Linked DNA regions of Schizosaccharomyces pombe. Changing the gene in region 1 together with any one later gene gives a genetic interaction. Each region holds a gene or a part of one and is shown in the gene's direction. Other genes may lie near its edges.

What was found.
Region 2: mutations in SPOM_SPBPB2B2.14C (region 1) and toe4 together harm fitness more than expected from each alone (negative genetic interaction), as found in Schizosaccharomyces pombe (one large-scale study listed by BioGRID).
Region 3: mutations in SPOM_SPBPB2B2.14C (region 1) and erv46 together harm fitness more than expected from each alone (negative genetic interaction), as found in Schizosaccharomyces pombe (one large-scale study listed by BioGRID).
Region 4: mutations in SPOM_SPBPB2B2.14C (region 1) and wdr21 together harm fitness more than expected from each alone (negative genetic interaction), as found in Schizosaccharomyces pombe (one large-scale study listed by BioGRID).

What each region holds. Positions count from the first base shown.
Region 1 is NC_003423.3:4,490,973-4,497,388, reverse strand, and holds SPOM_SPBPB2B2.14C (uncharacterized protein), read left to right. Parts: upstream 1-4,066; coding exon 4,067-4,484; intron 4,485-4,534; coding exon 4,535-4,809; downstream 4,810-6,416. Other genes in the region: SPOM_SPBPB2B2.15 (Vel1p domain-containing protein), read right to left, coding at 405-1,016.
Region 2 is NC_003424.3:113,593-123,822, reverse strand, and holds toe4 (transcription factor), read left to right. Parts: upstream 1-3,589; 5' UTR 3,590-3,714; coding exon 3,715-5,628; 3' UTR 5,629-5,762; coding exon of another isoform or gene 5,763-7,130; 3' UTR 7,131-7,769; downstream 7,770-10,230. Other genes in the region: SPOM_SPAC11D3.09 (agmatinase), read right to left, coding at 1-978; SPOM_SPAC11D3.08C (amino-acid permease), read left to right, coding at 1,615-3,267; SPOM_SPAC11D3.06 (MatE family transporter), read right to left, coding at 5,763-7,130; mfs2 (MFS family membrane transporter), read right to left, coding at 8,103-9,743.
Region 3 is NC_003424.3:210,788-218,452, reverse strand, and holds erv46 (COPII-coated vesicle-associated protein Erv46), read left to right. Parts: upstream 1-4,929; 5' UTR 4,930-5,246; coding exon 5,247-6,419; 3' UTR 6,420-6,739; downstream 6,740-7,665. Other genes in the region: pyruvate transmembrane transporter Mpc2, read right to left, coding at 1,614-1,970; SPOM_SPAC24B11.07C (oxidoreductase), read left to right, coding at 7,422-7,665.
Region 4 is NC_003424.3:325,528-332,792, reverse strand, and holds wdr21 (WD-repeat family protein wdr21), read left to right. Parts: upstream 1-3,207; 5' UTR 3,208-3,308; coding exon 3,309-4,571; 3' UTR 4,572-4,597; downstream 4,598-7,265. Other genes in the region: protein eti1, read left to right, coding at 50-2,983; cysteine-type deubiquitinase Miy1, read right to left, coding at 4,811-5,295, 5,402-5,851, 5,937-6,099.

The sequences.
Region 1 (6,416 bases):
GCGCGGATTTGTTTGATAGACTCATTCCAAGATTGTCGATCTACTACGAATGATTTGCAACCGCTTGGAAGCCGAGTAACTGTTTGTCGCTAACTTATAAAGATTTCCTGTTATGCTTTTTTCACTAGTAAAATGAAGTATGCTATAACTTTTCCTTACCATTAAAACACAATAAAAAGCGAAAAACACATAAACAAAATCAAAATACTTATGAATTCCGTTATTTGTTAGAAAATATGTTTAGTATAAGTTTAAAAAAAAAAAAAAAAAAAAAAAAACAATTTACAATATTTTATCTAGTATAAAGACTTTTATTGCTTAAGCGTTTCTAATTAAATGTTTTTAGAGGATAAATTTAACCCCTATTTTTAAATCCCATGATTTAAATAACGATTATATATATATCAGTTGAATCCCTCATCCAAAGGACAAACTGGTGTAAGTTCAATGGGCTGACACCAACTTGGCATGCCTTCCTCGTTATTAAAAACATTGATTGTAGGACTATCTAACAATAACGCAGAGAATCCGGGAGTACATGTTGCTACTTGAACATTATATAGAGTAGAATTCATCAGTTGGTTGCTAAGACCCGTTATCCGACTTGAATTTTGTGCTGTATACGCCCATGCATCAAAAGAAATTTCACTGGTAACAGTATTCACAAAAGGGATCATTGCATTTTCAATACTTTGAGGATTGCATGTTTTCAAATACGTTGTAAATGTCAAGGGAGTAAAGTTGGCCGTGTCGTTTTCAGCTATCGTAAACAAACGTGGAATAAGTCGAGGTTCTTGTTCCAACATACGCTGAAAAAATTCACCTTTACTTTCAGTCAAAGCATCAAGACCTATAAATGATTTTTCACCAACGTATGTAGCATTCGTTCCTACTACTTTCAGTAGATACGTACCACAATGCGGACCGCGTAGTCTACTACACTCAAGATCAGTGAGGTTGAAGCGTATGGCGGTAGCGAGCCCAATGAAGAAGAGAAATATTAAGTTTTTGAACATCGTATGGAAATGTCTTCTGAGCGTTGTAAAGAAATGTTTGATTTTAGTTGGCTTATATAGTTTTTTTTTTTTCTTTTTTCAACAACGAAAATAGATTAGCTCGTACAAAAATAAAATGAGATATTTTCGCGTAGATCATGATCGTCGCAATTTCAAACGTTGCAAATCACCTTTTTCTTTTTGAAATGTCACCAAAAGTGGTAACAACTGCAAATCGTTGAGGTAACGTGGTTTTCCCACTAGTCAATAACGAATACCAATTTTTATGTGATTGCGAATTTATCGGCGAGTTGTGACACATTTGTCTCAGAAAACACACGCTTTTTTGGTCTTTTCTCTACTGCTCAAATTTGTTGCTCTTTTTGTTGTGTAGATCTTCCCTCTGATTTTCAAACAAAATTTGCGGTTTCCCACCCATTGTTATCAACGTCTATTATTCTTGGAAAATCTTCCATTACATTATTGAATTTGAATAACGAGGCTAAAACAAACAAATGAAAATCTGCTAATTCACGAAATGGTACTGGTTCCATTAGATAAGGAAAAATTCGAAAAAAAATTATGTTTCTTCAGTCGTAGTATGCCTACTGGATTATCATTAGCAATATGAGTAGCTTTTATCCCGTTTATTATATTATAAACGATTCGGATTCCTATCGATTTATTCTAAAATAAAATACCCGTCAGTTATTTACTTGGATTTTAACTTAGAAGCCAAAAAACGAATCTTCAACCAGACTGAACTGGAAAACATTAATTAAAGAGATTCTCGGTTGTAGATAGTTGTAATTGTTTCTGTTTCTGTTCTGAAAACTTGTTAATATAGTAATCCCCCACTCTTTTTCCATATTTAGTCTTTGAAGAAAGCGAAGCAATTCTTATACTACTCGTCTTTAACGAGTTGCATATATACCGCTCTATTTTTTTGCAGTTTCCTTTAAAAAATCTCATTAGAATGTTTCAATGCATACTTAATAAATCAATTTTATCAAATGCTTTGTTGTGAATATATTCTTAAAACTCATTCATTTCTTGTAAAGAAATCTTTCTTTATATGAAATTTGAAATATTCGAAATTTCATCTTTATAACTAGGTATTTCTCAATACTTTTACATAAATTAAGAAGGGAAAAAATTTGGGTTTCCTTTTTAAATCAGTTAGAGGCGAAACCTCTAACGCTTTTCATGGCTTCGTGTTAAATGTGTAATTATTTTTAAGAAGAAATACAAACACAATTAACAGATGTTGCATAACATTACTTTAGATTTGAATTTCACCTCTTAGATATCATCCATTCACATGTCAAGTAGGTGCAGTTTGTGGTTAACATATATTATTACATCTGTATTTAACCAAGTCTAGAGCAAAGAAGATATTTTCAAAATGCTGGAAGGAGAAATTTAGAATGTATGACTTACCTTGTGAAACCCTAGTATATTACGTTTTCGTAGTAAAACTAGTAGCAGGTGAAATTTTAGAGTAGTTTGTTGACGAATGTTTGTTTCAATTTTATCGCTTAAAAATTAAATTTGTTTTAGATTCATCTATTTCCATTATATTTTTTCTTTTTTGTAACATTATTCAAGTAAGGTTATGTGTATCAAAACAATAACTTCTGACTAACTACTCGAATAACAACCAAGTATTCCACTATGATTTTTAATGATGAGCCAATATTCAAGATTGATATAATTTCCAAGAGATGTTTACAAATTCCAGTTTATAATTCCCTTACGCTTTTCTTCCTCTGTATCTCTTGAAAGCCCGTTCTACTGCATTTGCTAAAAATGCAATAAATGTATGAAAGTTAAACTCAATAATCAAAGTCTTTATGTAGTATTACAGTTATGAATTATTGCGACATTTCATCTTCAGCCTTACTCAAAATCTGAAGGATTCAACATATGGCAATTTATTTGTTTTTATCATGGGAAGCACTAACGATCAAAACATCAATAGACCATAAATCATCATTTCTATATGAAAATGTAATATAACTTCTAATACAGGAATTCCTTCTTATACATTTATTTGTAACATTGCTTCATGCTTTTTTCCCTTTCATTTTCAGTTTTCTTTTGTTCCCAAATCCCAGAGCCATAATTTAAAGAAAATATGAACTGGCTAAGCGGAACCAAAGTTTTCAGTACAATTGATCTAAAAGAGTTAGTCCGATGTATAGACTTAGTCGTTGATTCCTATTCTTTACTTTTTCGCAAGAGAATAAAATTTAGGTAGCGAACGATGTTGTAATTACATACGAATATAAATTTTTCAACGAGATTTTTTTTTATTTTTATTTTTATTTTTACAATTTTAACACAAACAAATCTATAGTCTTCCATTTCTTTTTATTTACTTTCGCAAATACTCACACCTTAAACATGATTTTTCGTGTCAACTATACTTAACTATATGCTTTATAATGCTGCTACGTAGTTAGGTTGTTCATGTTTATAGCTATTGTATGCGTACGATGTTTTCAACTATTATTTTATAAAATCAGCACACTATAGATCGAGTTTGATTGTACTACCATACATTATTATCATTATCAATGTGTCGTTAATAATCCTGTATACTTGCAACCGTGATGATGAACAATCCAACATAATTATTTACACACAAATCATAAGAACATGATTTTCATTGCAATTTATGGTATCCTTAACACTATTTACAGACTTTGAAGGGAACCGTATATTAATGCAAACTAAACCAACTTCGTTATATAGGAATTGCGATAAAAAAAGTTTGTAAGTATTACAAGATATTCACATCATAATGTTTTTCCCAAATAAATGAAACATCTCAGAACGTAAAACATTCACCAATTTTGATCTTTTTTTAATTCTTTCGTTTATGGCTTTAAAATGTTTTATTATATTTTCTTATTATCTTCCATAAACCACACTGTTTAATTTTACATTGTAAAACATTACTAGTGGTGCTAAAGCTATCAAATTGCAGTGCTGTGGTTTTATTCCAATGTCAAATCCAGAAAGCGCAAAAAAACAGGTTGACCCCCCCTGGTTACAATGAGTTATTTATGGTAAGAGATACTCGTAATGTGGACCTGGAGTGGGGACTTGAATTGTGTAAGCCTGAAAAGGTAAACAAACAAAATCTCTTTACCAACATCATCAAGCCTCAAAAAGATAAAATAAACATTAAGACAGATAAAATAAAGTTCTTTTTAGATAACCTTTTTACTGAATTTTCTAAATTTCATGATAGTTGTTATCCTGATGGTAGGATTTCTACCCGCAGTAAACTTCGTTGGCCCTTGCTTATTATTTGGTGTATTTTGATTGTTTTCGCAATAGACAAGAACTTTGAAGTCAAAGATTTTCTTTCAATTTGGATAAATGAAAGTTTTATAAATGAAAATCGGTTTTACAGTGAAATTTGGGGGCCTATTGCTATTTACATTTGTTTGTTTGTTTTATTGTTGCTTGGTTTAATTTGTATGTTTCCTTTACAGTGATGCCTTTTTTTTACTAATAATTTAAAATAGACTGCTCCAAGATTGTTGTAAAAGCTATACCATTGATCAGTATAGTTATAGCAGCGGTCGTAGTAATTATCGCGGTGGCTATGGTTAAAATTTTATACATCTGCCATTGGCTGATCTACAAAATTTTAATTTTGGCTTTCGGCATAAAAGTTAAGCCATTGGGAGACACTCTTCCTACACATAATGGAGAAACAGGATCACATTCAAAGGCAACAGTTGGTTCTGACATTGAACAAATAGAATTTCAAAATATGCCCACTCCTGTGAAAAAATAATTTTCTTTATCGTTTTATGATCGAAAAGAATATAATCATCCTTACCAATATTTTACTGACTGTACCGTCCTAATCATGCACTAAAGGTGCGTCTGTTATGAATTTCAATTATGGAGTCAACCTAATTACGGTTTTTAATGAAGTATTATCACTTGATGTTACTAATGTTTTATCTTTCGTTTCAAGTCTAATCAAATACTATGAATGTCATTTACTGCGTCACAAAATGAATTCTTAATGATACATCATGAATGACTCGTTTTTAAAGTTATGTCTGAAAACTTGAAAAATGCAGCATATGGAAATTGTTAGATCGATTGATTCATTAGCTCAATAAATTCTTAAATTGCAAATTATATTCTGGCAGCAAAAAATCGAGTTATTCAGAGTCTTTCAAAAACTCTGTTTACGTATTGACATACACATTAGACTTAGCTTTTCAACAATTTATACCGCTACTTGTCGGTATCTCCTTCACCTGAAAAAGTAAATTTGTCTAATAAATTGACATGCAAACGAAGCTTTAATGTTTGATTTCTTAACCCCAATCGAATAGACAATAGCTATTTATGAAAAAAATAAATTTTAAGCTAAAAGTAAGTATGGGTTGACGATGATGTAGAATGCATGTGATTTGAAGAAATATAATTGAAAACAAAAAAAATTTACACAAGAATTCGCATCTTTTAACTACTGTACTTAATTACAGGTGATTCCCAAAATGTCTGAGCCGCTTCATCATTACTTACTGTCACATCATTATAATTATTCAGTATTAAATATGCAAGCGCTACAATTTTATTGCTTTTATGTTTGTGAAACCGTTGTTATAATTTAAAATTAACAGAAACACAACAAATATATTTGATTGTAATAAAAGTCTTTAACAATTAAGCAAGTGTTAAGTATCCGGTATGAGATTTATGATGGAAGTTGATAAAAAAGTTAAGTATAGCACGATTAACACATTTTACAATAGAATGTTATAAAAGTTCATATTGAGCTACAAGTTCCCAAAAAAAAGCAATCTAAAGTAAGATATATTTACAAATTGCTACCAAACTGAAAATATGTGGAACTTTTTAAACAGTTTTAAAGTACTTCCAGGTTGCCTCGTATTTAAATTAAGGGAATTTTAATTTGCATTATTTGTTCTAAAATCACTGCACTTATTTATGTTAAGGATTTATTGACATGTAAGTTAGAATTGCAAGCTTTGCGTGTTCCTATGCGATCAAATAAAAACAATTTCTGCACATATTATTCATCTGCCTTATATATAGTATCAAAAAAATGAACGTAATAAATTCTATCATTCTAAAAAAACGAAAGTGAAAATTAAAAGTATGTATTCTCATATCCAGTTATCTGAAAAAGTAAATAAAATATGGAGAGTATAAAGTGGTTTCGGAACGAAGTCATATAAGCCTTCCTAAAGCTAATGTAAAACTTTAGTTAACGAAAATTTATATATTTGACTATTTGCTTAAATCGAAATTAGGTGATTTAATTTTGCTTGATATTTATATCAGATTGTCTACTATTAAAAAGAGAACTTTTGATCACTTTATTCATTCTTTTTTGAGGCTCCTTGAACATCATATGAA
Region 2 (10,230 bases), on another chromosome or scaffold:
ACCTGCACTCTCAGGGGTACCGGTGGCGGGAGCATAAGCGGGATCAAGAACGTCGATGTCAATAGACAAGTAAGCTATACCATCTCCAACTCTGTCACGGATCCTCTTTATAATAGCATCAATTCCAATTGTGTCAATTTCACGAGCTTCAATAATCTCAAAACCACAATCAGCATCATTATCGTAGTCAGAGAGACCGGAGAGAGTTGTACGAATACCAGCATGAATGTTTGAATCGTTAGAAACTAATCCTTCTTGACTAGCATGGTAGAAATAAGTACCATGGTTAATGCTACCAACACTTGATTTGCCGCCTCCAAAAACCTTGGGCTTCCAGCTGTCCAAATGACTATCGAAATGAATGATAGAGACAGGTCCATATGCACGAGAGACCGATCGAAGAATTGGAAGGACAATTGTGTGGTCACCACCGAGGGTGATAACTCTAGGCAAAACGCTTCCATCTAATGCATAACCATCTTTCTCAGAATAAGATGTAGGCTTGCGAGTTAATAATTCGAAATGGCCATTCTCGATTTGTTTAATAGCAACTGCATTGTCATAACTCGTCAAAGGAATATCACCACAGTCCACAATTTTAGCCCAATTGTTGAAAGGGTTGGTCTCCATTGGAACGTTGTAACCACCATAAAGATTGAGACGACGAGATCCTTCACGGATACCGCTTGGACCAAATCTAGCACCAGGACGGTAACTAGTACCAGTGTCGAATGGTGCTCCAAGGAAGGCAATGTCGAAAGATTGACTTTTGTCGTTTAGACATTTCCAATAAGGAAGACGACCAAAAGTTGCGATTCCCGAAAAAACGGAATCAGCTTGTGTTTCACCATCTCCTGGAAAAGCATCGTCAAAGGTTTCAACTGCATTTGCACGAGATTGCTCAAAGATCTTTGGGTGCGCTTGAGCCAATTGAGCAGCACCCGCGAGAAGAATCAAAAAAAGGCTTTGAAGAGCCATTTGAATAATTGTTTGTACTGTTGAAGTTTATTGCATTTTCAGGTGAAATGAATAAGGTATTTATACTACATTTCAGATATACAAACTTCTTCAAATATCTCCAAGGAAATTTTTGAATCTGCCGTGGGGATTCACATTTCGTTAATATAAATAAGCATTCCTGTAAAAACGATTGATTTCGTCATTTGAGTTGAGCATCCACCGGAACAAACTAGTATAACGAGAGATTAGGATGGATCTTTAAGTTAGATCTAAGATATTATTGCCTATCAGAATTTCCTTGGAAATAAAGGCATGATTGTACGCTCCAAGGAAAATAAATTACGGAAGGCGAGGAAATTCGGGCTTTTATGATTAACTTTTAAAGTCTTATAAAATGGTTAAATTCATTTTTGCTTTTGAATAAAGACATATTTAGTCACAAAAGCCTCTGCAAGCATATACCCTTTCGGTGATCATAAAATTTTTGACAAACAAGCTTTGTGTGGCTATTTCGGCTTGGAGGAGTTGACATATAGATCTTTAGTCTTATTCAAAATATTTGGTATAAAATATTTACGAGCTGCTAATTTTGCTAAGACCAATTTGCTTTGAGAGTTTTCTGCTTGTAAGGACGACTCACATTCAGCATTTACAATGAGTGACATCGACAAAGAAAGCTTAAAACAAAATCAGAAGCAATGGGAAAATGAAGTTGAGTTGGGCGAAAGCAGAGAAGCTAATCAAGATGATGAGCTTCTGATGAGCCTTGGTTACAAACCAGAATTCACTAGAGAATTCTCTTACGTTAGCATTTTTGGTCAATCGTTTGGATCAATGGGTCTTTGTCCGGCTATGGCGGGTTCACTCATTTTCTCGATGAACTGTGGAGGAGGAGGCATGGTTTGGTCATGGATTATTGGATGTATATGTCTGATTCCAGTAAGTATATCATTGGGCGAACTGGCGTCTTCTATGCCTACTTCTGGAGGTCTTTATTTTTGGATTTTTACCCTAGCATCACCATCGTCAAGAGCATTTCTCTGCTGGGTTTGTGGTTACGTGTCAGTGCTTGGCTACGCTACGATTTATGCTTCAACAGTGTACTCTGCATCATCTATGGTACAGGCACTAGCTGTGATAGGTAGTCCTTCTTATTCACCTACAAAATATGAACAGTACGGAATTTACGCAGCGTTGCTTTTCGTGATTTCTGCCATGACTGCAATTCCCTCTCGTGTTATCGCGAAGGTGAACATCATTAATATTACCTTCCAATTCCTTGTATCCATTATTCTTATTATTGCCCTTGCCGCAGGATCTGACTCTACTACTAGAAATTCTGGAAGTTTTATATTCGGTGATTTTACAAATTATTCTGGATGGTCAAACATGGGATGGGCATTTATACTTTCATTCACTACTCCTGTGTGGGTTGTAAGCGGATTCGAATCTAGCGCCGCTGTTGCTGAAGAATCAACGAATGCTGCCAAAGCAGCTCCCTTTGCTATGATTTCCAGTCTTGGTGTGGCTACCATTCTTGGATGGTGCATCGTTATCACCGTTGTAGCTACTATGGGTCACGATTTTAATGCCATTCTAGGTTCCTCTTTAGGCCAGCCTGTAGCTCAAGTACTGGTTAACAATGTTGGAAATAAGGGAGCTTTAGGAATTTTCTCTTTGCTGGTCATTGCCCTTTGTTTGAACTGCATTTCGTTACTGATTGCTGCATCTAGAGAAGTATTTGCTTTCTGCAGAGACGGCGGGATTCCAGGAAGTAGATACTTACGTCTTTTGACTAAACAGAAAGTTCCCTTAAATGCAATTCTTTTAGTGCTACTCTATAGCCTTTTAGTCGGTCTACTAATTTTGGTTAATGTCACTGCCATTTCTTCTGTGTTTAATTTAGCAATTATTGCTCTTTATATCGCTTATTCCGGCCCTCTTATGTGTCGATTTGTGTACAATAAATTTCAACCTGGTGTTTTCTACGTTGGAAAATGGAGCAAACCAGCAGCCTTATGGTCATTAGTTTGGATGTGGTTTATGATTCTTATGCTTTTGTTTCCTCAATATCAAAAGCCCAACCAAGATGAGATGAATTGGGCTATAGTGGTCCTTGGATTTGTAATGGTCTTTTGCGTGGTGTATTATTATTTGCCAAAGATTGGTGGTAAAACTTTTTTTACAGGTCCAATACCTACTGTTCAACAGGAGAACGAGTACATATCTGGTGTTCCACTAAATGAACTATCTTTAAGCAGTTTACCTTTGCCAAAAGATTTTGACCAGAAGCAAATCACAGAGTAATTTAACCTGAGTGTTATACTTTTCTTAACTCTTCTTTTTGGCAACAGCTACGCTGTTTCATTGTATTTTTACTGTGCTTTTATAATTGTATGTTTATTAACAGTTCTTTTTTATTCTTTTGTTCCTAGTCTTAGTTAAATAGCTTAATATTGTTTTAATGTCTTTTAATGAATTAGTGGCTCTGTTATCATTATCAGTAATATAAGATTATATAAAATTTTTTTTATCTTTCGAGTACGTATACTTATCGTCTTGTCCAGATTTTCTTATCATCACTTCCCTTATAACCTATACTTAAGCACGACTTGAGTAGTGCTAAAATAAATCTGCAGATGTATATGCTTTTTAACAGTAAACTGCACCAAAGGCGGTAATGCTTGCTTACAATTGATACGCATTCAGCTAGAATTTAAGATAGTTGTTTAATTACTCTTTTCTTAACATAAGATGTCTCAAAATAAAGCATGTGATCTTTGCAGGTTGAAGAAGATTAAATGTAGTCGAGGGCAACCAAGATGTCAGACTTGTACTCTTTTTCAAGCGGACTGTCATTATTCTAATCGTGCTCGCCGTAAGAGACTTGTTCAAAGAAGCAAGGAGACGTTTGGGGGAATTACGTTACCCGTGTTTGATTATGCCGCTGGTATTAACGGCAATGAGCCAGAACCGAGTGATCACTCAATTCCAAATCAAGAAAATTTTGCATTAACTACTAATGGAACTATTAGTAAAAACATTGAAAAACCCGAGGATGGTGAAGAATCCGTTCAGAGACGCCTTAAATTGCTTGAAGAAAAAATCGATTTGTTGTTAGATATAGCTACTGAAACTTCAGAATTTAAACGTGAAAATAAGGCTATTGAATTACCTTCCTTGGTTACACAAATTAAAGATGCAGAATCGATTGTTATTAAACACAGACAAGGTAGCCCTGTCGACAATACACCTACTCGGATACTGAATGTGGAAAGCTTGTTCCCTCCACAGTTGCCGGACTGGGAGAAGGCATTCCATGACATTCCCAAGAAGGAAGTAGCCCATGAGTTAGTCACGTCTTACTTTCAGCATGTAAATTGGTGGTGGCCTACCTTCGTATATAATGATTTTATGTATGAGTTCGAACGTCTTTATGCGTTCGGGTTCCATAGCAATAATGCTTGGCTAATTTCTTTTTATTCTATTTTAGCATTAAGCAGCATTAGGAAAAGACTTGGTAACTCAAAGACGCTTGCAGAGTCTTTGTTTTCAACAGCTTGGGTTTTTGTTCAAAAGTCCGACTTTTTTCTTACTCCGAGCATTGACAAAGTTCAGGCTTTAATTGTCATGACACAGTACGCAGCTTACCTGTCTAGCTCTTCTTTATGTCGGACTTTGTGCGGCCAAGCCTGCCTCATGGCCCAACAATTAAACTTACATAGAAAGCAATCCACTGATGTGGAGCCTGAAAAGGCTGAATCGTGGAAAAGGATATTTTGGATGTGTTATATTCTCGATAAAAATATTTCTTTGATTTTTGGAACCCCTTCCGTTTTTAACGACAAGGATATTGATTGTAATTTGCCTGATAGCAAATATGAGCTTTTGTTTGGTGTACAATCTGGTGGTGATTTGATATTTGTTCCTACCGTATCGTTGACAATAATTCAGAGTGAAATACGAAATCGACTATACAGCGTGAAGTCACCTACGCAAATGGCAGCGAGAGAAAAAATCATCATACCAATACATCAAAAATTGAAAGCGTGGGAAGAAAACCTTCCTTCTGAAATAAAAATGTATCATGAAATGTTGCTAAACAACACTTTTTCTCCCACTATATCGCTTAGCGATCGGTTCGAATTTTTAACTTTCGCAGGTATGGAAGTTTACTTTTCTTACTTAAACACTTTAATTATATTACACAGACCTAGCTCGTCGACAGAGAATCGAAGGATTTGTATTAATGCAGCCCGTGAAGCAGTTCAATTGTTAAAAAATAGACTCAACATTGATCTCAGGGTCAATGTTAAAGCAGATCCGCTATGGATATTCCTATACTGTCCTTTTACACCTTTTTTAATAATATTTAATAACCTTGTTCACGAAACTGATACGGAAACGGACTCAGAAACATTACTTAACGATTTGGATCTTTTACATGTAATTTACGATTTTTTTATGGAAATGGAGCCAGTTAGTGACGTGGCTTTGGAACTTGTCAAAATTGCAGACAAACTTTTGCGGGTTGCTAAAGAAGTTTGCAGTGCCAAAAATAATGATGTTACGGATTCTACTTTTAAAGATATCGTTGAAGGTTTTGAACTTAACGACTTAAACAGTTGGGATTTTGACAGAGTAACCAATGTTATGAGGAATCTTTAAAAAAATATGAAAGTAACGTTGTTTTATTAATAATTTATTTGCTTTAATGTACATGGTGAACATCATTACCGGTTAACAATGAAGCTATTATCAAACTATTTTGCTTGATCAACTACATGCATCGACCCAAATGTCTAATTGAGTAGTGCAGTCAATTCAGAGGAGTCACCAAATCTTGAGATTGCCTTTCTTGATTGGGAAATCCAGTCAGTTGCCATTACAATTTTCAGTTCTAAAATTCCGACTATGGATAACGCTATTACCTGTCCAATCCAAAGACCGACAAGACCTTTGCCATGGAAGGCTAAATAAATTCCTAGAGGCAGAGCAAACAAATAGTAGGCAGTAATGTTAACTATAGCGCCAACCTTCTGTCTTCCCGTGCCTCTTAAAGCTCCTCCCATTGTACCATTCAAGGAATCTGATATTTGGAAAGCAGCTACTAAGGGCATTACAAGAGCAACCAGCTGAATGACATCTGGATCATTTGTGAAAATCCGTCCATAGATATTGCGTACGGCAATCATGGTAATCATGATAACGCTTCCTACTGCAACACCTACAATTGCTGCGACCTTAGCAGTTAGAGAAGCATTGTCAGGTAACCCAGCTCCGAGATAGTAGGCAACTCGATTAGAAGTAATTATTCCGAGACCGAAAGGAATTGTGTTAAGTAATTGATCTGTGGTCATAATTACTGATTGAGCGGCAAGTGGTACAGCACCAAGTTTACCAGCAACTAGTGCTACTATTTCAAAAGCCCACCATTCTGTTCCCACCATAACGATACCCAATAGTGATAACTTTACAAAAGGTCCAAAGTTCTCTAAGCATCGTTTATTCCAACCATTCCACGCCTCTGCCCCTTTTACGTATTTCGCATATTGAGTTAATAAAATGAATGAAAGCCAGTACGATAATCCAGTTGCCAATGGAGCGCCTTTTAAACCTAATCCATAATAATGGACAAGTAGAAAATTTAAGGCGACATTAAGAGGAGAGGTAACTAGAAGAATATAAGAACCAGCCCTAGTGATTTCTTGTGTTTGCAAAAACTTTTTTAGCAATTCAAAACATACATAACCTAGTCCGCCTGGGATAAGGTATCGTAAAAACTTTTGTGAAGCTTCAGCTAATTCAGGTGTTTGATGCAAGAAAATTAGGATGGGTTTAGAATACCACCAAACTAAACATATTGGCAGATATAGAATACTGAGCACGATGAAACCCGTTTGCAATAGAATTCCCAATTCTTGTTTTTTTCCGGCTCCCCAAAGGTTGGAGCCAAGTGTGTCAAAAGCAGTAGTTCCACCTAGAGCAATCAGCCAGCCTGTGCTCATCGCAAACATGTACGCAAAAGCAGCTACGGAAAGCTCGCTTGGTCCAAGGCGCCCGGTTACAATAACTGAACTAGTTTGCAAAGAGTTTTGCAAGGCATATCCAAGGATTACCGGAGCTGAATTTATCAAAAGGTATTTCACCTCTGTAAGTGGTCTACCCATAATAGTGCTTTCTCAGAGAAAATTTGGATATACGGTGTATTTTTTAATATAAATAAAGAGTACTTCTTAATGTCTGTTCACCGAAGGTTCAAATTTTCCTTTAATAAAAGTTTACTAAGCTTTTATCATATTGATTGAACGGATGGAACCATAAATTTATATCAGAGAACGCTTAGAAGCCGCACATTTAGGGCATAAAACTTCAGATGTCATGGCTAAACATTAGTATATCCGTGGAGATACGGAAATTTAGAAATACCCACGCAAAATATTTTTCGCTTAGCCAACAGACATTGGGAATTCTCGCCGAGTTTTTGCTAACTTAAATGATAGCAGTTAGCATATTTTGCCGGTGAAAATATTATTACCGTCTCACTCCGCTGGTTAAAAATAGTAGGTAACAAATCGGTTGCAGACTAAGAAGCTATTGACTCGCACGTTATTCTTAATTTGTTGAAATTAGTACAAAAATTTGAGCATGAAAGCGAATAAAGAGTACAAAAAATATTTTGTAATTTTACCTTGCATACTCATTGACTGTTAATAATTATAACACTTACCGATGGTGGTAAAATATATAGCAGAAAATAGCTTGGTGAATTTATTAGTCAATAATGATTTGAACAAACATTACAGAAAAAACGATTTGTAATTTCCCAAATAACTGTGTATAAGTATGAATCCAGTTGTTTGGCGTACGCATATATCATTCTCGGTTAATTTTGCTTTTCAAAAGTTTATATTTAGATTGCTGTGACTTTTAGAATGCAACACGAAATAACTTTAAATCTTTACGTTTTTATTAAAACTTTCTAAATTAGTTTATAAACATCCATTCGTTCTTTAAATAGAATAAGCACCAAAATTCATCTTTGCTTGCAATCACTCTCTTACTATATAGATATATGCATGATATGACAATTATAATCAACATTAAATAAACACAACAACAACAAATAATCACACTTGTTCTTACAATTTGTAAGCGTTTTTGCTCCACGCACGAATGCTCTTGCCAAAACGATAAAATATAAAAGGAATGGGAACCATCGCTACAGAAATAAAACCAAGCACACTAGTAGCCCAGTGATCTCCTAAATTAAGGTACATAGGCCTGGCCACCATACTTATGCCTCCACTGGCAGAATAGCGAACTAGAGTAGCTGCAGCTAAAGCGCTCGGTGCCATATGTTGATACGAATCAATAATGTAATTGTATGAAACGAAAAAAACTATTAATAAGGAAAACCCAAAGAAAGCGCTTGCTATTATTGGTACAATCCAGTGAATGTGATGTGGATAACATGTCCATGCAAACCAAAACATTGATATAGGCAACAAGAAGCAACCAATAAACAGCGGATACAAACGATCCTCTGGACATATAACTCCGTTTCTCTTTTTGTTGACCTTTAAATAATGCCAATAAATAAATGGAGTGCACAGACCTGCACATACGATTCCAACGCCAACACCAATAAACGACAGCCCTTGCTCACCTTTGTTGAAGCCGTATTTTGCAAATACTATAGGATATCCTTCAAAATTAATGTAGTTAATGATGTACACCACAGTCAAATACAAAGTAAAGCACACAACAATGGGCTCTGTAAAAATAAGAGAAACAGCTTGAGTAGCTGCCTGAATCATTGCATTTTTCGGATCTCGTTCCCGCTCATGGATGGTATAGTAAGCAGTGTTTCCCGTTGTTTTGCGAAGATATTTGGCCTTATAATCCAAAATCGTATCTTCGTGAGTTTCGGGGAAAAAAATGAAAACAAACACGATTACAGCAGCTGCCCAAATCATATTAATCCAAAATGTCCATCGCCATTCCAGATAGCTTTGTGTAATGAAATCACCGATTATAGGTCCAATAATTGGACCAAGGTACGGAAAAGTACAAAACCCAGGAAGGACATAGGTACGCTGGACAGGTGTAAACAAATCACTGATGGTTCCGCCAGCATTTGCCAAGGGAGTACTTCCAAAAACACCCTGGAAAAATCTTACAATAGCCAACGTCCAAACATTATGTGCACAACCTCCACCTACTTGAAATATAGTAAATATCAGTAGGGTAACAAAGTATATGATGAATCGGCCATAAATATCACTTAAAGGTGCAAATGGCAAAGACCCAACACCAAACCCTACTAAAAAAGTACAAGAACCTAACGTAGAAACTGGAATAGAGCTATGAAGTTCACTGGCGATATCAATAATGCCGCTAGAATACACACTAGAGGCGAAAGTAACAACAATGGTAATAACAGAAACCTGAATGACAATCCACCATTTATAACTATGGCTCCAGTTCCTTGGATTTAAGGGATCGTCTGGACCATCCCACGTTACAAGATATTGGTCCTCTGCTAAAAGGGTATCATTTAAAATATTTTTGCTTTTTGCAGGGCGTCCCTGACTAAGTGGCAATGATGCTCCTAATGAAACCACTGATCCTCGATCATCAGCAGTAGTATCAATAGCAGCATCAGCACCGTTAGACAGCTGTTTTTCTAAACCATTCAATGATTCATCTGAAAAACGTGAACCCACTTTCGAATAGTGCTTTTCAAATTTCTTTCCCGTAATTAAGGAAAGTAAATCCATGTGCAGTTAGTATTGAAAAGGAAAGAATAAATAAAAGTGGGTCAAAAGTAACGCCAAACAAACGAAGGTTATCGAAATATATGCGAAGGAGAGATTTATATACTAGTCAAATTTAAACAGCTGAGATTGCTTTAGTCATCGCGTTGTTCCAGATCGTGAACGAAAACACCGATTCGCTCGCTAAAGTAGATACGAAATGTCCAGCAGATTTTGCTTAATTAAAACATAAATATTGATGAGCAAGAGCAGCTCGTTATAAATCAGACCTCCAAGGATTTTATCAACTACTCAACTGGTTATGTGAATAATGACTCAGTTAAATATTAAATGTACTCTAAACGGTTATCATACAATTTATTAGGAGGATTATACCAGCTAGTAGGAATTTAACCATTTCAAATTTAAACCTCTTTTTTTTCGTAACTTGGGGTCGTCATAATGAATAATTCTGTTTGTCGAATTTGAAGGGAAAAACACACTTGTTATC
Region 3 (7,665 bases), on another chromosome or scaffold:
ATTTTGGTATGTCATTCTTTGATTAAACTCTCTTTCTTTTGTTTGTCGCATGTTTTGCTTATAGTTTTCTTCCGTTAAATCATATTTTTACAAAAATTTTCTATTCTGTATACATTTTCGTGATTATTATATACTTAGGTAAATGGCACGGAAATATACAAAAATTCAAATTTCATAAGTGTTAATTATTTACGGCATAAACAACAACAATAGTCGTGTAGAATCTCCATATCCACAGAATAATAAGTAGTAGGTAGCATTCATACAAATGCTGAAAGGTTGTGTAAACAAATACTTATTACGTAGTTACTTTATTAATGCTTTCAGTATAAATCCACGATGCACATTTGGATTGAAGCAAACTGAATATTAAAAAAAAAATAAATAAGCAAAAACCGTTATTGTACAGAAATAAGCTATTACTAAAAAGTGAAGTTGGAACGGAAGACACTTTCGCCTATCAACCAGACGTATGACAGTAAAAAAAATAAAAAATCCTGACCTAAAGAGTATTTTATAAGAATAGAATTAATTATTAAAAGTTCATTTCAAATAAAACATAACATGTAGTAAAACTTTTCAACACGACATGAAAGAACAAGTACCACAGACACAAAACCCAATCCAGCGGTTGAAATAATCACAATCCGAAACTTAAAATTTCACCAATTTAGTTATAAAAACATTCCCTTTTCAATTCATTAAAGGTTAATGTCGAGCATTCACCCAACCGCATATTTTATAAAGCAAAATAACCAAATAAAATCAACATAAGGATCTTATTTCCAAACCTTTACAATTTTTTCAAGGCATTTCAAATAAAATATGAAACACCGAGTATGTTATACTTAAGACAGAAACGAAAGTGCACTCGTAGGGAGGGGCAGGAAATGCTTTGTAATATACAAAATCATTTAACCAGACAGCCCGGGTTGCGATATGCAGTACATAAATAGGTCAACGGAAAAGAATGGGAGAAAAGCCTATAAATTAGCAGAAACTATTTCCTTCATAAATATATCACTTCTGCTTATAATCTGATAGTATGTTCCCAAGAAATAGCGACCTGACAAATACCCCAAAACCGATAATACATGAACTCCATTTGAAAGAGAAAAAAACGATATTTTTTTAAAATCCCCGCAAATAAATAACTGCTTTAAAAAAGAAAAGCAAAAAAAAAGTCAATTCAACAAAATGACGGACAAACAAAGCAATGTGAAAACAAGAAGACAAAAGGAATTTTACTTGTCGTCGACTCTTTTGGGAATTTTTTAATAACAATCAAACCAACAAAAGAAAGTAAGGTTTGACAAATAGGGGTTAAGTTGTCGAAAAAGGAAACTTTACAAAGTATAGAAAAAGTCACTTAAATTTTAATCTATACGAAAAATTGTTGAAGACTGCGCTAGTAACGTATGCAATAAATCAAACCAAACAGAATGTCTTTTCAGATGATTAGGAGGACTGTTATTCCTTATTTATTTTTCTCGGCACAAAGGTGAAAGAAAGAGAAGAGGGATCATTTTGTTTCCCCAATATCCATCCACTCATCCTTTCCATGTTTTTTATTTTTTAGGGGAAACAAAAGTAAGTTTTGTCTGAAATTTTTTTTATGCAGCAAGGCTTCGGGCCAACTCGGTACGTTGCTCACTTTGAGCGGTGATGCGTTTTTGTTGTCGTTGATATACAAGAATCCTTGAAACTTGAACGGCACCAACGATGGCCAAGAAAAAGTTGACAGTAGCATTAAAGTAATTTTTAGGACGAACGATCAGAGACCACCGAGTCCAAATAGCACCAGTGGCACACAAGGCGGCATATTGACGAATAGAAAGGTATTCTGGGGAACGGGCATAATCACCAATACCAGAAAGGACTAAAGTCCATTTCATGGCAGGAGCCCAAAAATGAACAGTCTTGGGACCGGCAGGGTGATTCCAAAAGCGTTTAAAGCCAGCACGAAACATTTGAGTATATGAGAAAATAAAAAAAATTGGAGGAAAAAATAAGAAGGAAAAAAAATATGTCTCACAGGAGATAAAAAAAATAAGTCAATACTTTTTGTAGGGTTAGAAATCGCAACTTTTCCTGCAAGGTCTGATCTTATCGTTGATGAGAGGAATGATAAGAAACCAATAATGAAATGAAGGAAAAAAAAGATAAAGGAATATGAAAGGGAACAAAAAAGATAAACGGAATGATGGATGCTAATAAGCTTAAGAATAGTCACTACTTTGTAAGACGAAACAATGTGAATGATATGTAAGATGGTAGTGTGAAAAAACCGAAAAAAAAAAAAAAAGCAAGAGACACAAGAACTAGAAAACAGTTTCTCAAATCAACTTTATTGTATACCGTTACTTTTTATATTTTAGTTTCAATCGAGGAAAGCTTGAAATTTCGCCAACAAATAATCCACACGAATATCGATGCTAAGTTGGTGTATACGTACTAGGGACGAATGTGTGTGTGTGTATTTATATGTAAGCTCGGGAAAAGAGTGATATGAGCAAACGAGTCAGATTTTCGTACGTCCACGCAAAAGCACGTAGTAGAGGATAGTGAATGCAAATTAGAATGTGATAAGGTAAAAATAGAGAAAAGCAGCAAGCTAGCTTTTATTTGAAGATTAGGATGGCGTAAAGAAAGGAGAAGAAAAAGAATGGGAACACTAGGATTTGTATATTTTTCTTTTTCTTGTGTTTTCGGTTTCACTGTTATGAATGAGAACTAGTAAGAATAAACACAGAACAACAAACGCTATGTATGAATGACTAGGATGTATGTATTGGAGCGCAAAGCCTGCCTTGTATATAAATTGGATCACGCTACCGTAATGTTATCGTTGCACTGATCAAAACAAATTTTCCTACGCTAAACGACCACCGCAACCAAACACTGATTTGAGGTTGATTAACTATGATATCGATGGCACAAGCACCCAACGTTCCAAAGCTATTGATTGCCGTTACCGAGCCGGAAAGGAAGCGCGAGGTAGATCGGGAATGTAAGTATGTGACAACAGACTAGAGCGAAGGAAGGAACGAACGTTTTAGAGCACCAAAACGAAACCGCGTTTTATTGATGTTGTATATGAGGAAAAAAAAAAGATTTGGATGAAGGAAACGGTCACAATATCGCTTCGGAATGTAGATACACAGCAGTAGCAATGCAATTGTACACAAATTCAGTAAAATATGTAAAGTCCGCCTGGACGGGGGAATGCGAAAATAAGGCAGTGTGTAATCGCCGAAATTGATTAGCAAGCAAGTAATTGTCAGTGAATCCATTAGTCAACGAAAATGCAAGTGGGAAAAAAATAATTGAATGAATGGATCCATTCATTCAATTTATTATTTATCCCTTAAAAGAAAAAACTCTTTTGCTTATGATGTCCAATTGTTTACAAAAGCATCGGTGGAAATAAAAGCGCAAGTGCAGTATAACAAAACATACAAGCATAACCAACCTTACAAGCGCTGTGTGTCTTGCCTTGCAAAACCTCTATTGGGATGTACACCTAAGAAGGACTCTACTTAGGAAGGTGAAGGTTGTGGGGGTTTGGGTTCTTTGGGGGCCACTTCAGGTTATCCTAGATAAAAATATTCGGTGCTCTCTGTTGATGATTTGATGATGATTGCCATAAGTTCAATCAAGCTCCGAAATTCCATACCACTGGATCGCCAAGTGCAGTACATGAGGATAGATAGATTGGAAGCGACGGTCGAGTAGATATCGGATGGCCGAATGGGCAGAGAGTGTTGGTCGATAAAAAAGGTGGAGGAACCTCCAACTAGTACATTTACGAAAGGGTTATGATGGGAATGAGCAAAAGGTGGTCTCTCCTTGCAGGCAAAGAATGAGGAGGAAAAGGAGTAACGAGAGGTTCCTCTGACATTTGTGTGGATATGCACTCATGTGATTACAATTACCCTTTCCTAAACCCGATCTGTGCTTACACTTCGTATTGTGAATGGTTGTGAATTACTTAGGCATACATAGTGCACCATGAGAAGTCAGCGAAACAAGGTTGGCCCAATATGGAGAACAGCCATACGCACGAGTGTGTTGGAGCGTCTTTTCTGCGATTGCTGACCAAATAATGAATTAAGCTTTTTTTAGGATGGCGAAAAATGGGGAAAAGACATAGGATAATGACTGATGTACATCAAGGGAAACTCATCAAATCGCACAAGTTGCCGGATCCTGTGTCTCCCAAATACCCATTTACAAGGCATCCTTGTACATCTTTCTTGTTAGTTGCGCATCATAACGAAACCAGCGGTGCTAGTATACAAGGTATTTGGTTAAACAGTGTTGGCGACGGTGATGCTTGAAATTGAGTCATACATTGATGGTATCCGTATTAGACATGCTAAAAAAAAAAATTTGTAGTAGCGTTGCGTTTATCCCATAGTGTTTGGTTTAGGTTTATATTAGAGAAGCTTGGATTCCGCTTATTCAACAAGCGCTTATTCGAAAGTGCTTAGATCGCATAAGCGCTTATTGAATAAACTGTGTAAACTCAATAGGTAGTTCGGATTGTGCTTGCTAAATAGTACTTGGATTGTTTTTTAGTCAATAATACTTAGATTTTGTTTAAAGACAATAATACCTGGAACGTATACGCACTTATACTTGAACTATATTTACTCAATCACACTGAGTTGTACTTAATAACACTGAGTTTTCCTTTCAAATTACTATTTGTCTTCTCTTTTTTAGTTAATTGATCTACTTTTTCCTCGGCGTTTACATTAAACTCCACGTTAAAACTGAAACGCCTTTTAGGCTCCCTTAGAATACATTCCATTTGAACCCATATATATCTGATTTTTCAATAAACAATCATAATCCCTGTCAAACTAATTCAATCCCTCTTTGCACCTCTGTCTATTAACCTACTTCTAGTCCTGCGCTTGGGTTGACCCTCAACGTATACTTTCCCCGACTACCTCAAGCCCCCTTAGTCAAGTTGTTTCGACAATTTCCAAATATTTCATTCTGGGAATGATCGTTTTTCAAGTTCAAGCACATTATTTTATATAAGATTTGGTGGTCAGCATTTCACAAAGCTCTAACATAACCGTGCATAGTTGGAACCACTGAGGTGGGCCCTTCTAATCCTTTAATCCAAAAAAAGTATTTTCAAGTTGGTTCAAAGAACTGCTTCTCCATATAATCGTTTTTTTCCTCTGTATTATTGTTACAAAAACGTATCTATCGACCGATAGTTTCAAAAAATGCAATTCCGTTCACCCCTTAGGCGTTTTGATGCCTTTCAAAAAACTGTCGAAGATGCTCGCATAAAAACTGCTAGTGGCGGTCTTATAACACTCGTTTCCGGACTTATTGTCATTTTTATTGTTCTCATGGAATGGATCAATTACAGGCGAGTCATCGCAGTCCATGAAATCATCGTCAATCCCTCACATGGCGATCGAATGGAAATCAATTTTAACATCACCTTCCCCCGTATCCCTTGTCAAATACTTACTGTCGATGTCTTGGATGTCAGTGGTGAATTCCAGCGTGACATCCACCATACCGTTTCTAAAACGAGGTTGAGCCCTTCGGGCGAAATTATAAGCGTTGATGATTTGGATATTGGAAATCAACAATCTATTTCTGACGACGGAGCCGCTGAATGTGGTGATTGTTATGGGGCAGCCGACTTTGCTCCTGAAGATACCCCAGGTTGTTGCAATACCTGTGATGCCGTTCGAGATGCGTACGGTAAGGCACACTGGCGAATTGGTGACGTTGATGCCTTTAAACAGTGTAAAGATGAAAACTTTAAGGAGCTTTATGAAGCTCAAAAGGTCGAAGGTTGTAACTTGGCTGGTCAGCTCTCCGTCAATCGAATGGCCGGTAATTTCCACATTGCTCCTGGACGATCTACTCAAAACGGAAATCAGCATGTTCATGATACACGTGACTACATTAATGAACTCGATTTGCATGACATGAGTCACTCCATCCATCATCTTAGTTTCGGCCCTCCTTTAGATGCGTCTGTCCACTATTCCAATCCTTTAGATGGAACAGTGAAAAAGGTAAGCACTGCCGATTATCGCTACGAATATTTTATTAAGTGCGTTTCCTACCAATTCATGCCTTTGTCTAAGAGCACACTTCCCATAGACACAAACAAATATGCTGTCACACAGCATGAACGTTCTATTCGTGGCGGTCGTGAAGAAAAAGTCCCTACCCATGTTAACTTTCATGGCGGAATCCCTGGTGTATGGTTTCAATTTGATATTAGTCCTATGCGTGTTATTGAACGTCAAGTACGTGGCAATACCTTTGGTGGATTTTTGAGTAATGTTTTAGCTTTGCTTGGGGGCTGCGTTACACTTGCTTCGTTTGTTGATAGAGGCTATTATGAGGTTCAAAAGTTAAAGAAAAATTGATCAGATTGTTTATGCACTAAATTTGTTTTGTTTTGTTTTTCGTTCTTTTCTTTTCTTCTGTTTGGTCCTATCGATCAATGTAAATACCATCGGTTTCCATGGCAAGTGCCTGATTTGTAACTTTAGATACTCTATTTCCTATACTATTCCAAATTGATACCACTTGATATTTCATGACTCGCTTATCAATCACAAATTGCTTTTAGCCTCGTTTAGCAAACAACCACTCGCTATATTCACATTGAAGAGCATACGAACCACGCACTTTCTTTCCCTACATCTCAATTCATTTCTTTTAATGTTAAACTCGTCTTCTTTCTAATTAAACATACAAAGATAAAGATCTTTCTATCTGGTGTATTCAATTTTACAAGGACATATAGTATTAGATATATTCGCTTTCCGAACCTAAAGTATTGTCTTGATTCTATAGCATTTTAAATAAAAAGGAAATTAAAATGAATTGAATTGTCTTAAAGTATTAATAAAAATAAGTATTATTTGTAGTACGAGTGATCAAAATTTTTTTAGTTTTTTTTTAGTGCACTCCAAGGAAGATCGTGCCAAGCGGAATGGTATGAGTTGTCATATCCATACACGCTCTTCTACCATAAGCATAACCCCGAGACCGACAATCATACGTCTTAGAAGCCACAAGGAAAACCGATCGTTTCCATTGGAAACCAATTTCCCTTTTCCAAATACATACATTTACAATTAGCGCTCTTTTGTACGGTGTGATCCTATAGAAACGGTTTCGAAAAATAGCAAACCACAATTTGCTGCTTTGGATAAATCACTTTTAGAAAAGCTTTCGATTTACGTGTGAAAACGGTTTTAGTATAGTCGTTATTAGAGCTGCATGGAATCGTGGAGTTTATTAAAGATTTAACAAACGAATTCAACTCGAAAAAAGAAATCCAAAACCAACGATTGAGTTTTTTTTTTAAAGTGTAAATATAATTTTTTTTTAAGAAGAGTCATTTTTAATTTGCTACTGAAATGACTGACGCAGGAAAAAAGGAGCGTGTCAGCATTTTGTGTGTTGGTAGCCCTTCCATCACGACTTTATTAGGTTGGAGGTTACAGCAAAGCTCAGTTGTGACATGCCAAGAAACTATAATGTTTTTCAATGCCCCCGAGCCTTCTACTAACGTCTTCACTATTCAATCGAAAAAATTCGGAACTCGTAAATACCGTCCGACGTATCGTTTATCTAAGCTTGAAGAGGTTACCTCTGATTCTG
Region 4 (7,265 bases), on another chromosome or scaffold:
ATGTAGAGTGCAAACAAAGCGCACTACATAAACAACCATCGTTGTTAATATGTCATTTTATAAAGAAAAATCAATTAATGAAACAAATCTCGGATCGTTCGTTGACGAAAGTAATGAACTTTTTTTTTCGGCATTATCGGAATCCTCAATGAACCATGGAACTCCTGATGATAGCATTCTACTTGACTTAGTAAGTCGTTCAGACAATAAAGATTTATATCAAGATTCTCTCGATGTTCGAGATAATTTTTCAAACTTATCTAGTGATGAAATTCCCCAAAGCAGTTCCTATGAACAAACTCGCAAGCCATTCTTTCATCATTTTAACCCGTTCGAGTTTTTAGAAGCCACAAGTCCATTGCAACAAAATGGCAAATCTAGAGATACGGAGAAGCCTCCTTCAATGAAAGAAAAGGATTTGTCTTCAAATAGCAGTTCGCAGCATGATAAAGCCTTTCATGAAAGGGTTGACCAGGGGAAAAATAAATCGTCAACCACTAAATATCAAGAATTTCGAACTGTCGCTGATTATCGAGAATTTTCTCCTGGACAATCAGTCAATTCATTGAAGCCAAATTCTGGTGATGAAGTTCCATCAACCAAATCCTCAACGTCTTCTGAAATGCATACTCAACTATTGAAGGATGAGCAAAAGAAAATTTTAACACCCGCACCTGATGTGCCTCATGATGTTTACTGTATTGAACCCTCTTTGGGTCGAGTTTTTTCTTTTCCGGCTTCATTCGTTGCATCTCCTTTGCTTTTAGAAGATTGCAATAAAATAGCATCTTGTGATCTTCCTTATAGTACATTTTATGCTAACTCACAAGTTATTGATAAATTTTCTGAATATTTTGCATACGTGGATCAGGATCCTTGCCATATTCGCGTACTGAACGCCAATACCGATCAATCGCTCATACTTTATACGCAATCTGATGTTAAAAATCTACATTTTGGCAAAAATAAGCATACAAAGCCCCATCTTTTGGTAATGGACGCTCTCTCTAATCTGTATGTTTGGAAAATTTTACAGAAGCGATCTGAAATTTCAGTTTCACTTTTGTTTACCATCCGTCGTGCCAATTATGGTATTTGTGATTGGATTCCTAATTCTTCAAATATGTTTTCTATGATTGTAAAGAATTCTTTATATATTGTGGATATATCAAATATTCGTTCCAATAATATTAGCCCTAAAGTTTATGCAAAAGATTTTAATGGATTACAAGCTGCCAAGGTTGATTTACCTGGGCCGATTAACTCATACACCATCTCTTCTGACCGTTCTGTTGTTGCAATATTAGTGAATTCTCAAATTTTTTTCTATTCATTTCCAGTTTCTAATTTATTTTCTACTAATCCTTCACACCGAGGTAACTGGGCGGCTATCGCGACAATGAGCCTTCAGCTTCCGAGTACAGCAAATTCTATTTCTTTTCTTTCATCTCCACCGAACAATAATGATATCATTGATAAAGTTATTTGTGTCTCCTATGCTAATAATACTATATTAGGTTTATTTGATTTTGGGTTATGTGCTTTTACTCAAGAAATTGAGTTTTCAAATGAAAAAGAGAAATCACCTATTCAGCAATTACTTACTTTCAATAATTCAAACATGATTGTTGCAAAAAGGAATCAGCTTTTGGATATCTTTATTTATTCACCTTCTGATTTATCCAATGTGGGTGTATTATCTAACACTGCAGCTTTGATCTCTGCTGTTTCCAAAGGCAAGCGTTTTGGAGATTCTGGTTATATTAATAAAGTAATATCGAATGAGGTGGTGGATCATAGCATTGTTTTTGTCACCTTAATTGGCTGTGATAGTTCCAAACTTGAACTAATTTTGGCACTAAGTTCTGGATATTTTCAGTTCTGCATAGAAAGCGATTCCAAATTTGACGAGGGCACTTCTTTGGAATATCCTAATTCTGACAAGCGAATTTTAGCTAGGGCATCATTAACTTCGGGATTAAAGTCTAATAACACGCTAAGGGCTTTGAGTCAAGATTTAAAAAATTGTGCAAAATCTAAGGATGATTCCACAACACAAAATCTTACAGAGTCTTTGGGATCAGTTTGTTATCCCTCCATGCCATTCTTCAATCAATACGTTCCTCAAAATCCTAATGAGGTTAGAGAAAATATCTCTTCAGTCATGAAAAGTAGAATCCACGCAAAATTTGAAAGCTTGCATAGTCGAGTGGAATTGGTTGTTAAGAACTCTTACATGAAATTGTTGGAGCAGACTATTTCAGAAGCTGCAACCGATGAAATTTCTGATCTTTTCAAATTGATACATTCAAAACCTTTTCTTCTTGAGGTAGGATTCCTAGAAACTGGATTTTTGGCAAACGACTTGGAAAACTTAACATCCACTTATAGAAGCAGTAATAGGCAGTTGTGCGATTTTTCAAACCGCATAGGAAACATTAACCAAAAGCTTGAAAAACTCTTAATGATTGAGCGATTAGAAACTAGCGATCAAAGTCCAACATCCTCTTCTAATTTTGAAGAATCTGAGTCATTTGCAGTATCGAAAAAAGTTTTGGAATTGGTTCGCATTTCTAAGAATAAAGAGGCGTTAATTTGCTTCACGAAGGATCCCTCTATTGAAGCATTCCGGTCATTACAAGATGTGCCTGATTATTCACTAGATGATTGTTCTTCAATTCATCTTTTAGCATTTATTCATGTTCTTTCCAAGTTAATCATAAAAGAGGAACAGCTATCATTTTCTCGTCTTCAACTATTATCGCGAGCTACTTCACGTCTTCGGACTATGACATTATCAGTATTTAACAACAGCGGCACATTAACTCCTGAGCTGTTCTCCTCCGTTGTGCGCATTGTTCTTAAAAACGTGAGGGAATTTGTGCTAATTGGTAACTCTAGTATACAGAAGTCGAAGCACGAATTTTTAATTACGACGCTCCAAGCACTGTTAAGAGAAGTCGATATTTTTCTCAATACATAGAAAATGGAGGAATCTCTGAAACTAGCTTATGAGCGACAATAAGCTTAGCTGCAAGCACTAGTAATTTTGTCTTTTACGGCATTTTTTCCTTATAGGGGGCATTTAAGCTATTAACTATAAGTTAACAAATAAGGAATTTTATCGTGTTACCTTATTATACCGTTTGCCGCACACTGGTGCTTTTTTTTATTAATTTATATAGTTGTGTTGTCTTTTGAATACCTAAGTATTTGGCTACATACAACAGAGAAATGGTATAACGACAACATTTTAACAAAACCTTTTTTGTTTTTAATTTCTTTTGCTTACCATCAATCCCTGGGTTATGAGCGGACTACCATTTCATATTCCCGGTTATTATTACAATTCTGAAAAAAAGCGTTACTTTCGAATAATTAGCTCGGGGCAGTCTACTCCGTCCTCTAATATTTATACTAAGGAGAGGTTGAAAAGGGGGAAGCGTTTTAATAATATCAGTAAAGAACGAACCAAAGGAAAAGGAGGCAATCCCGTTTTCAACTTTTCAACTTATCTTTTTGATAGACAGTTTTCACAATATCCTTATTCTTGTAATGATGACAGAGATTATTTATGTGCAAAAAACCTAAAAAAAATAAATCTTCGGCAGCTTCCAGTTGGGACTGAGCTGCAAAAAATAGGTTGGCTTCGCGAAGTTAATACCATAATTTTAACTTCCAAAAACGGCGACATATTGGGGTGTTGTCTTACCCCTGAAGACAAATCTGGAGTTGCAAATGAAAAATATACTTCAGAAGGTTCAATTCAGGATTTTTCCTTGTCAAGGATAGGCCTCTCTAATAATCCCATTTCTTCTTTGGTATGTAACGCAATGCAAATTTTCTGGTCTACATCTCCTTCTCTGCAGAATGAGGGACAATTTCATATATCTACTTATAACCAGCTATTGGGTGAATCCAATAATTACCGTTGGGGATCTCTTAAACTTTTGAAAACCCCTTTATGTGCAGAAAGTATTGGAGAGATGGGCTTTGCAGTTGGTGGCACCTCAAAAATTGCAATAATTAATCGAGAGGGAAAATTAACGCAAAGTTTGCAATCTAAAGGAGACGTATTCAGTCTTAAATATTTGGGTGACAACTTAGTCATTGCTGGATGTCGAAATAAAAGTGTATTAGTGTATGATCTTCGGACGAAGAAAGAATGTGTACAGCGATTCTATCATGGATCTAGCATTTGTTCAATGCAAAACTTAGATTTTTCCCAACCGAAGCTTTTGGTTAGTGGTTTGGAATCTAAAATTTCTTTGTATGATTGCCGATTTCTGCAAAGTAAAAAAAGACCCCAGTCAATTATGTCTTATATGGGTCATTCTAATTTGCTTGAAAGAAATTTAGCTTTGATGAAAAATGAGAATGGAAGCATTTTTAGCAGTGCTGGTGATGATTATGTTTTACGTTTTTGGAAAACCGACTGTTCGTTACCATTCAAGGAAATGCGAGTTGACGATGGTAAATATTTATGTCGAGATGGGTCTTGGGTAAAAGCAATGAATGGTACCGGTTGGGTTCTACCGTATGGTCGAGGCTTACTTATTTACGAACCATGAGCATTTAACAAGGTGAAGAAAATTCTTTTTGGTAGCAATAGTATCTTTAGTCTTACGGATATATGTAATGCTTGTTTACTTTTCAATCTTTCAAAAAAGTTTAGGAGATTTCAATATTAATTAATAATTGTTGACGTAAAAGAAACTATGGAATAAATGTAGTAAATGCATACGCTTTCACTAGAGCGAATACAAAAAATAAAAATATAAAAGACAGATCCTCTAAGTATCATGTTTCATCACGAAATTAAACAGTTTTCGCTTTGCTTACGTGATTTCTGGGTATTGGATTTGTTACGACGAGGAGTGTTGGAAGCCTTTTTAGGAGTCTCCTTTTTTCCTCTTTCTTCTTCTTCTTTCGCTAGTCTCTTGGCATATTGTTCATCATCTTTAGCGCGTTTTTTTTTCTCCTCCTTTCTTTGATTCAAAACATAAACAGCAGGAATGAAGTTAGCTGCACAAAGTTCACCATTGCCTGTCTCAACTGTTTGCGAGTCAAAGGTTTCCCACACAACATCTTCACCTGTCCTTGCGTATCCACTATCTGTGACCAAAGTAAATTGTGCGAATGAATCTGGATTTGAATACATGGTACTGAAATGACTGGAACGAAAAACCACGACTATTTCCCCTGGACCTACAAGCTCAAGAATCTTTTTAAGACCAGCATTCGTCAAAAATTGCATTGTATAACGATTTTCCATAACTTTGTCAACACATGTAGCTATTTGAAGTGTTAGTTTGTAAAAAACATATAGCAAATTATAAGGCTAAAGTCTCTCAAGCAGTAAACTGAAGAAAGTATGCACGACAGATAAGTAAAAACTTACAATTATTTAAAAAATCTTGCTGCTGTTCAGTTAGTGGCTCCTGCATCTCTAATAGAGAACGACGTTCGGCAAATGTATCTGCAACTTTTTCATAATATTCAAGCTTTCGAAGGTAGCTTAAATCTTCGTCGCTCAAACCCATATCATCTGAAAGAATCCAACCATGAACTAATCGAACTCCAAATGTACAAAAGATTTCATGCCCATACTCAAACTTTTCAATATCATAGAGACAAGGATTCAATTGCTGACCGAAATGCATAGATGTCAGTTTATCCTGAAGACTTTGCTGATTTTTGCATAAGCCGTATGCTTTAGCAAACTCCACCAAGTATTCTGTCAGTTCATCGGGTGTGATGTATCTTTTCTTCGGCAATTCAAATGGTCGATCTACGTTTGACTTTAATATTAATGCATTGGACAAAGCAATTATAGGACACGGGCCATTAACTGAATACAAAGTAAGCAACTTAGAATTTGCGGAATAAAAGCTTGCAATTATGTTTAAAACGTTACAAGTCTTTATAAGGATTACCTGTTTGACATAGAATAATTCGTTTCTGGTATTCCCTTGAAAGGGGTTCTATGAAAGGAATAGTTCTTGTCTGGTAGGAATTAGAATGGTCCTCTTGCTTATGGTTCTGAGTTTCATTATTATGCTCTTGAGTATCAGGATCGTGTTCCTGAACATTATCCATGGCTTGGTAATTAACAGAACTTAGGTTTCTTAAAGAATTCCTTTTTGAAAATTTCAAATTTATATTCAAGGATTCCTAAATGTGTCATTTAAATTAACCTTATGAGTTAATTTAGAGACGTTGATCGTAAGTTGGGTAAGGATATAGCTTACACCACCATATCACAGTAAAACCAGTGTCAGTGCTAATGATAAAAGGTGTTTACTCAAAATAAATTTAGTTTTATGACAGGAGGATTTATAGTTTAAATGAAATCTTATATACTGAAATTGAACTTTTAGGATTGTGCTATATTTCGTATACATATTATTAGGTAATTGCAATTGGGGCCCAAGCTTTATACATTCAGTATTTGTAATAATTGCCTTTGTTAAGTTTTTAACAGCTATTTTGTAATCTTCAAATTTTGGATTCTATTTATAGTGAAGAAAGCAATGAAGTATATTAAAAAATCGACTTTAGTTGCAAAAAGTTAAAATTGAATTTATATTTTTAAAAATTAGTATATTAATTAAATTTCTTTTAAGTGTTGATGAACTCTTTTGCACTCATTTACTGTAATTATAAACTAGAAATGAGGTATTTGTAAAATTACAACTTCCTTTTATTAAGTTGTCAGAAACCCAGAAAATTTTAGAAAATGAGTTCAAGATTGAAAATTAAAATAAATTAATCAAATAAATGAGTTTAAAAAAAACAACTGTCTCTTAAGACTTTTCCAGTAGATATCTTTTCAATGCTTAACAGTTGTAATTATTAATGAACCAAAGAAAAGTTATGAATTTGCTTTAAAGTATGCGTTTTTAACCATTTTATTTTCAGCTATGTTTGAAAGTTTAAATGCAACTTCAGTAAAGTAGTATTGATTATATAGGTAGCATCATCATTGAAACACTTTTCATAATTTTCATCTTATAAACGAGAAGGCTATATAAGCTGCTTTATACTGGATTTACAATTTTCAGGAAATTATTTCTTTCAGTTGATTGACCAAGACAATGAAGGATGATTGTAATATACTTTGAATAAATTAAAATTGAGATTATAATTTAATTATACTCTAAAAGAAGTATTATAGAAAAGACAAAACTATTTTGTTTGTTATCATTTATACTCGCGAAGCTGGATCTCCCTGATGAATTCATTATGTTCTAGGAACCAAACTT